Ovis aries: one gene and its partner. The protein of the gene in region 1 purifies or fractionates together with the protein of each later gene. This does not show direct contact. Links are inferred from orthologs where the notes say so. Each region holds a gene or a part of one and is shown on either strand. Other genes may lie near its edges.

Evidence for each region. The genes of interacting proteins can lie anywhere in the genome.
Region 2: the proteins of ARHGDIA (region 1) and EZR purify together in Homo sapiens (co-purification; 3 studies listed by BioGRID and IntAct, with this or other methods). This does not show direct contact. The link is inferred for Ovis aries from reciprocal best matches to the Homo sapiens genes ARHGDIA and EZR.

The regions. Positions count from the first base shown.
Region 1 is NC_056064.1:50,519,979-50,524,413, reverse strand, and holds the start of ARHGDIA (rho GDP-dissociation inhibitor 1), read right to left. Parts: upstream 2,907-4,435; 5' UTR 2,163-2,906; intron 2,077-2,162; 5' UTR 1,951-2,076; intron 1,358-1,950; 5' UTR 1,331-1,357; coding exon 1,141-1,330; intron 1,040-1,140; coding exon 956-1,039; intron 592-955; coding exon 515-591; intron 436-514; coding exon 372-435; intron 257-371; coding exon 57-256; 3' UTR 1-56. UniProt on the Homo sapiens protein: Controls Rho proteins homeostasis. Regulates the GDP/GTP exchange reaction of the Rho proteins by inhibiting the dissociation of GDP from them, and the subsequent binding of GTP to them.
Region 2 is NC_056061.1:82,894,284-82,897,924, forward strand, and holds part of EZR (ezrin), read right to left. Parts: intron 3,267-3,641; coding exon 3,103-3,266; intron 2,891-3,102; coding exon 2,760-2,890; intron 2,146-2,759; coding exon 1,985-2,145; intron 1,645-1,984; coding exon 1,552-1,644; intron 343-1,551; coding exon 106-342; intron 15-105; coding exon 1-14. UniProt on the Homo sapiens protein: Probably involved in connections of major cytoskeletal structures to the plasma membrane. In epithelial cells, required for the formation of microvilli and membrane ruffles on the apical pole. Along with PLEKHG6, required for normal macropinocytosis.

The DNA of each region.
Region 1 (4,435 bases):
GTGGTGGGGTGGGGCGCGTCCGTCCTTCCGTCCGCCCGCCCTGCCCGCCTCCCGGCTCAGTCCTTCCACTCCTTCTTGATGGTGAGGTTCCATTCCCAGGACAGGTGGTCAGTCCTGTCGTCGTCTGTGAAGCGGGACTTGATGTTGTAGCTGCCTCGAGCCAGCATGCCCTTGGGCGCCTCCTCCATGGGCGTCAGGAACTCATACTCCTCCGCCCGGGGCCCATAGCTCCCCACCATGTAGTCAGTCTTGTCAACTGTGGGGCACGGGGAGGGCGTCCGTCAGGGAGCTGAGGCGGGCCTTTCCCCGCTCCCTCCCGGCGCCCCTTGAGCCCCCGGTGGCCACCTCCCTCCTGGTGCCCCCGCACTCACTCTTCACGCCTTTCCTGTACGTGTGCTGGATGTACTTCATGCCGGACACAATCTCTCGGTTCACCTGCAAGGAGGCACACAAGCGGGGCTCAGCCAGACTCTCCAGTCCGAGCCCCCAGCATCCCCCCAAGCCTCCTCCTTACCCGGAAGGAGATTTTTATCCGATATTCCACACCCTCCTTCAGCACAAAAGACTGCTTCTTGAAGCTCTCCAGATCACCTGCGTTTGAGAGGAACGCCACACTAGGAGGTTCAGGTAGGGGAAGCCACTCCGGCCCTGGTGGGGTGCCCTGTCTGCCCCTCTACACACACACACCCCCGGCATCCCAGGCCACACCAAACACACACACCCACACACCCACACCCACACACACACCCCTTGACATCCCAGGCCACACCCCAGACACCCACACACACCCCACCCTCCAATCCCAGGCCACACCAAAGCCAGAGCCTTATTAAAATCACTTGGTTGCACTTCCTAGGCTCCCCACAAGAGGGCGCCAGCATCTCAACAAATTATTTTTAGGGGAATTAGCAGGGTGCCAGGCAGCCCCAGCGAGGAACCTGGAGATGCCACTCACCTGTCAGGTCCAGCTCCAGGGGGCCCGGGGCAGTGCTACACACCAGGGTCAGTCGGGTCACCACAACATTGGGGACATTGGGGTCTGCAGAGTGACAGCAAGTTAGAGCTCCGCCAGCAGGGGAAATAGTGGCGGACACCCAGAAAAGCGACAGGTGTCCACACACCCCACCGGGGCCCACTTACCGGCAGACACAGCCACGCGGCCCAGGAGGGCCTCCTTGTATTTGCGCAGACTCTCGTCGTCCTTGTCCAGCTCCTGGATCTCCTGAATGCTCTTCTGGGCCGGGGGCTTATAGTTGACCGAGTGCTCGTCCTCCTCGTTCTCTGCCGCAATCTGTGCCAACTGCTCGGCTGTGGGCTCCTGCTCAGCCATACTCACCTCTAGCTGGATGTGAGACACCTGTGACCAGAGTAGCAGGGGCTGCGGCAGCCTGGAGGGACCCACAGTGTGTCCCCACCTGCCCTTCTGCAGGACCTGCAGGTGGTCTGCACTGGCTCTCTGCAAGTGGCCAAACCCCCAACCTGGGCCCAAGGGGAGGTGCACGTTCTCTAACAGGAAGGCAGTGACAGCCAGAACTTCATAAAAGGCCCAGACACAGGCTCCTGAAGCCCAAAGGGGCCACTCACCTCCTCGCCCTGCCCACCTCACAGGACCTCACCCCAGCATCCAGAGCTAAATGAAAGGAAAGCAGGCACAGCTTCCCTGCTGCCCAGGAAGCAGCAGCACCTGGGTCCAACCAGGAAGCACCAGGACCAAGTGCTGCTTCTTGTTCTGAGCTGCCTAGGCCCTCTCCTCAAGGAAACCCTCTTGCTGGGTTCTCTCTGACCAGCCTGTTCCTTCAAAAACGCCCCAGCTACAAACCAAGGCCTTTGTGCAGGACATGGGTCAGTCATGTCTCCCTCCAGCCCAAACACAGGTCTCCCCTAGAGCTCAGATGACGGGGCTAGCCTAAGTCCCACAGGTAAGTCCTGAAATGGCCTAAAAGACCCTACCTGTCCGACAAACCAATCTCTAATTGTGAGGGTCTGTGACCTAGAATTTGAGAACTGCTGCAGCCATGTGATGGGTAGTCTCAAGATCCTCCTTCCGCCCGGGCCCCAGAAGAGCCCAGAGCAATGCTGTCAAAGCGAGAAGTGATGGGGCAGCCACAGGACTTCCTTCGCTAAGGATGACCGTCGCACCCCGCAGAATCCCTGAGGAGTACCTGAAACCGACTCAGACTAGACCCGGCGGTGTGGGAGGTGGGTCAGGGCCACCGGTTGCCAGTAAAGACAGCCAATGCCGGGACGTGCGTGAGGACCCGATCTTACAAAGGGCCGCTGGGGACCCGGAACCGCCCGGCCGCCACAGGCAGGGTGGGGCCGGCTCGTTCTTTCCAAGCTTCCCTGCAGCTTCCTCTGGAATTCCTCTAGAAGGCTCACGCCTTAACGTCACTCAAGCGCGGCCGCAGGCGACAAAATCATTTAAGTGCGATGGCGAGGCCCGCACTTCCGCAGGGCCTGCAATCTGGGCCAGGCGAGGCCCGGCAAGCAGGGTGGGGCGCAGGGACCTCACCTCCCAGGGGAGGAGGCGTCCCGCCTGGCCCTGGTCCGCGCGCACCAGCAAGCAGGGGGCTGCCGAGTACGAGCAGCGACCACAAAAGAGGTCTGCACAGACCCCGGCTCCCACCCCCGGCACACGCGCCCCCGCCTCCAGATCCCCGCGCCCCCGATCGCACGTGGGCCCGCCCTGCGCCCGGGGCGCCGCCCGCTGTCAATGCCGCCCCCGCCCTGCGCAGATTCCCTCAGCGGGACTGGCGGGCGGGGCGGGAAGCGAGAACAAAGGCGCGGCCCCGGCCTCCTTCCCCGCGGCCGCCTCGCCCGCCGTGCCCACCGCGCTCGCTGGCCTCGCCGCCCGCACTCACCGGAGGATCGTCCGCGCCGCTCTCGCGCTCCCTCCCGCACAGAATGACGAACGTCGCCGCCCCGCCCGCGCGCGCCCTGCCGGCCACTTCCGGGGTCACGCGACTTCCGCTCGCGCCGGGCGGGCCGCGGATAGCGCATGTGCGAGGAGCTGCCGGCAGCGCGCCGCCGCCATCTTGCGGACCGGCCTCGTGGGCGCGTCCGTTTGGGCAGCGCGGCAAAGGAGACTTGTCCGGTTGGGGCTCCTGTGCTCTTTGCCACAGGCTTTTCTTAGTCCCGGGTATCCTCAGGAGTCTGCCGGCAAGCTGAAGGGGTGGGGAAGTGAGATGGTCTCGCTGAGCGCCACGAGAAACCTGAGCGCGGCATGGTATTTCTGCGAGGTGCTGGGACGCGCGTGTGTCACGGGCGCGTCTCCGTCAGCGGGCATCTCTCCCTTCGAGGGCCCGCTGCCATCACGCCGCGGGGACGAGCCGGCACAGCCGATCCCATCAAGTAGCCGAGGTCAGCGAGTGGCAGCTGTCCGGCCTTAGGCTGCCTTCGCGCCCACTCGCCGATGTCCGCCCTCCCGGAAGTTATCGTCGAACGTTCATCCACGGGTGTCCAAATAGCTCTCTCCAGGCCTTTCCCCTTCCAGCCCAAGTCACCATGCGGTCGCCCTTTTGGGAGCTCCTAGCCCAGACGCCACCAGGCGTGGCGACTATCGGACACATGCCCACGCCTTCAACCAGCGAGGATTTTGCAGCGCCAAGCCGGGCCTATGATTTGTAGCCAGGCTGGCGGAGCCTGCGCTGCCAACGCCGGTCTAGCATGCATCTCTTCTTCCTTCGCCTCCTCCTCGCGGAGTGCAAGACCTCAAATGCTTCACACCCGAGTCATCACAAACACACACCCCTGGATTGCACGTGGTGGGGGCGTTTTAGGTCACAGAACCTAATGTGAAATACTGACCTTGGTATCTTTTGGAAATGTCTTAACTTTGGGGGAATATTTGCGAGTTTTCTGTAATGAAGAGTCACATGGTCAGCTTAACATGTAGAAAGTTGAGTTGGCCAAAGGCAGAGCATTCCAATCTTGTATTTATTCCATACACACTTTTGAGGCTTCCTGTTGGCGCACCTGAAAACTGCCCGGCTAGTCCCCGACGCACTCATCCTGCGTCCTGCTACATTGCCCAATCGCTGACTGAGCAAAAGTTTGTTTTTCGATAACCCAAGTGCTTTTTGAAAACTATCTAACTCTGTTATATTAGTCACCTATTGCTGTGTAAAAACATAACCCTGGAATTTAGCAGCTTGAAACGACCAACATACACTGTCCTTACCGAGGATCAGGGAGAGCTCCGCTCGGTGGTTCTGGCTCGTCTAGTGAGGTTGTGGTTGAACTGTGAGCCAGGGACCTGGTTTCAGGATCTGCAAGCATTCCAAGCTTATGCACGTGCTGTGGGCAGGAGGCTCTGATCCTCACAGGCTGTTGGCTGGAGGATTTAGTTCCCTGCTGCCCACAGCTTCTGGCTTCTCTGTAAGGCAGCTGGCTTTCGCGGAGTGAGGCCTCAGAAAGAGAATCCGAGCCAGGGAAA
Region 2 (3,641 bases), on another chromosome or scaffold:
TCATTGGTCAGAGTCTGCAACGGGAAGTGGCCCAGTCAGCTCGAGTGGCCCGTGGTCAGCCCGATGACCCTCCCAGGCGCCCCGGCCCCGCCCCCCGGCCCTCACCATCAGCTGCCGCTGCACCCGCTCGTTCTTCTCGGCCTCGGTGATGCGCTTCTCCTCGTTGCGGTCGTCCAGGATGCCCTCGCTGGACAGCTCGGCGCTCAGCTCCGTGCCCTCCTCCTGCGGGCCCTCATGCACGTGGTAGTTCACCGGCTCGTACACCGGCGGTGGCGGCGGCGCGGTCATCACCAGGTGCAGCTCCTCCCGGGTCTTCACCAGGTCATCCTGGGCTTCCTTGGCCTTTGGAAGCAGGTTGAGAGGCAGGTGAGAACTTTCACAGAGAACCTTGGGCTTGAGTCCTTAAGAACCACCTTTTAACTGAAGGCCCGCTGTCCGTGCGGAGAGCAAGATCCTGCACCCTCCCTTCCTCCGCCGGCTGCATGTGGCGGTCTGCAGCAGCGCCAAGCAGAGGGCCAGGCTCTGGCTGACCTGGTGGCCAGTCCACCATTTGTGCAGCCGCCCCCGGGTCTGGAGACCAGGGTCAACTGCACCGAGAGAAGGTAGACACTTTTCTAAGTACTGTAACTTCTTTACAGTCCCCGTATATGCTTATTGTATATATTTTTGAAAAAAAAAAAAAAATATGATGAAGCCCTCCAGCCACTGAAGGGTTTTTGATGTTGCATTTTACTTTCCTCCAGTGGCCAGATGGGCGTTGCTTATCAAGCTCCTCCCTGCCTCTCAGCACATGGCTCACACCCATTCTCACCCCATAATCCTTCCAGCAGCTGGGGGGGGGGGAGGGGCCACGGGTGGAGGGGCACTGCACCAACATCCTGACCCTGGAGATGTGCTTAAGTTTGTACCTGTTTTGTAACCCACTTCTCTCATTTAATACTTGAGCACTTTCTTAAAAAACCCAAGGACCAGAATCTTCTGCACACAACTCTGGTTGGGGGATGGCAGTGAAGGTCCGTGCAGAGGAGGGGGCCACCGCAGGTGAGGAAGGGCTGGCGAGGGGGAGGAGCCCCACAGCCTGGCAGACGTCTACCCTCTGAACTCGATGGCAGCGCCCCGCCCCCGCCCCCACCCCAGGAACAGTCTGGGGGAGACAGGGGGGATGTGGTTCTATTACAGCCGCAACCAACTAAACCTCTTGGGGGGTGAGGGCACAGCGCAAGCCAGGTGTTGCTCGTCCTGGCTCTCCAACGGGGAACCGATCCTCTTAAGAGGTGAGGCCGCCCACCCATCGCACAGTAAGGAGTAGCCAGAGCTGGACTCGTGGGGGCTGGAGACCCCCAGGGTGCAGGTCTTCCCCAGCACCGCGGGGATGCATGTCCCGAGCAGCAGAAGGGGACTCTGGCCGTCCTGGGGCATCCACGTAATCTGACTTATAGCTAGTTCCTGACGGGGCATCCTGAGCCTGGAGGGTGCGGTCTCTGCTGACCCCCGCCCCGCGGTCCCCCACTGGCCGCCCACCCCGCACCCTCGCCGGCGCCCCGCGCTCACCCGGAGCTGCCACTCCTCCACCTCGTTCTCCTTGCGCCGCCGCGCCTCCTCCAGGAGGGCGATCTTGGCAGTGTACTCGGCGAGCTCCGTGGCCTGGGGAAGGAACGGAAGCCCAGATTATTTCCGGAAGGGTTTCAGCACGCCACTCGTGAAGGAAGGGTCACGTTTTGGTAGACAGTGCCCCATCCCTGGCCGGCAGGGTCCATCGCCCACTGTGTCTGAGGCTGCGACTCACCAGGGCTGCCGCGTCCACTCTCCTCCGCCCGAGGCCAGCCACTGCGGGGCTCCCTCCCCACCGGCCACCTTACACCCTCAGATCACTTTACAGCCCTGCCGCCGTAATGCACAAATGATCATCAGGCAGGTGTCAGTCACTCTGCCAGTCCCCAGGGGCAGCCTCCCTGTAACTCAGCACAAGGCCGGCGGCTCCTACCAATTGCTCCTGGCTCTTGATCTGGTCCGCTGCCTGCCTCTCCAGCTCCTCCTTGGCGCGCAGCGCGGCCAGGCGGTCAGCCTCCAGGCGCCCCGCCTCCTCCTGGGCCCGCTTCCTCTCCTCCTCCAGCTTCAGCGCTCTCTGGATCTGGTCAGAGAGCTCTAGAGAGAGCGCAGAACCAGAGCCGCTCAAGGTATGGTCGGGGACCCCTCAAGTCCTGCCCCGATTTCCCCCCAGGGGACAGGATGGAACCTGGGCAGGAATCACCCCCATGCTGTGGAGTAGGGGACCGGGTTTGGGGCCGCTCCTCCCAAAGACCCTGCGGAGAGCACTGGGCAACTGTTTCCTTGGGGCTCAGAGGACCACATCCCCAGGGTGAGGACACCCTCCAGGCTGGCTGACCCCTCGCCCAGCTGCTCTCATCAAGACTGCTCGCCCGCTGTCGGTTTAGAAGGTGGGCCGTGCAGCACGGCTTGGGTGAGCTTGGCAGAGCCTTCGCGAACCTCCGCATCCTCATCAGAAACGGGGATAATTCAAACGTCACCCCATCGGACCCCGGGGAAATTTAAAAAGATTACGTCCAGAAGCATTTGGCACAGAACCCACAGAACTAGCTTCTAATCCAAGTAACCACTTTATCATGTCTCTTCTGAAAGTCTCTACTTTGGGTGTGAGCTTAACGGAGAGAGGTCCCTCTGGGTTGCCTGTGTGCCCACTATCCGACCCTCCCATCACAACCGGACCAGAGCCCCTCCTCCCAGGAGGCCCCACCCACCTTTCTCAGCCTTCCTGGTTTTTTCCTCGTAGTCCTGAAGCCTGAGCATCAGCTCCTCCTTCTCACGCATCATCTGCTCTTTTTCTCTCTCCACAGTTTCTCTCCTCTTTTTCTCGGTTTCCAACTGCTGCCTGTTTCCAGGAGGGGAAGGTAAGCCTGGTGTCCACACAGCAGCCTGCTCGTCCCAGCCCCAGGCCTGTCCACCCGGCAGAGGACACTGGTGACAGCACGGACCTCAGGTGCCCTGATGGCTCCCCGCCTCAGGGGGCCCGCACACAGGGAACCGCCAGCCCCGCCCCTCACCATTCTGCCCCGCCCCTTTCCCATCGCCCCGCCCCCTCACCGCTCCAGCTGCTTCTGGTGCTTCTCCTCCCGGGCCTGGGCCTTCATCTGCTGCACCTCAATGGTGTCAGGCTTCCGGCGGCGCATGTACAGCTCATGGTTCCCCATGCAGAGCTGCAGGATCCGCTTGTTGATCCGCAGGCGTGGGGCGTAGAACACGAAGTCCTGCAGGACAGAGCAGGGCGGACTCTGACTCGGGGACGCCGGGCCTCTGGCTTGCTTCTCCCAAACCCGACCCCACCCAGTTCTAGATTTCTCCTGTAAAAGGCGAGAGACAGGGAAAGCCCCTGACCCCAGCAACGGGGTGGGGCAGTGGGGGCAGGTGTCCTCCGTGCCAGGGGGGGGGAGCATCCTCCAGGACAAGCAGAGGGATTGTCTGTGCCCTCACCGGAACCCCGCAGCTGGACCAGCGGCTGACCTTGAGGCTAACATCCTCCTCTGATGTCTCCAGCCCCCAGTGGCCCCATCTCTGATTCTTGCCTGGACAGCGTAACTTCTCCTATTTGAGTTTCCGTCTCCTCCACCTCAAGCTTTCACTTC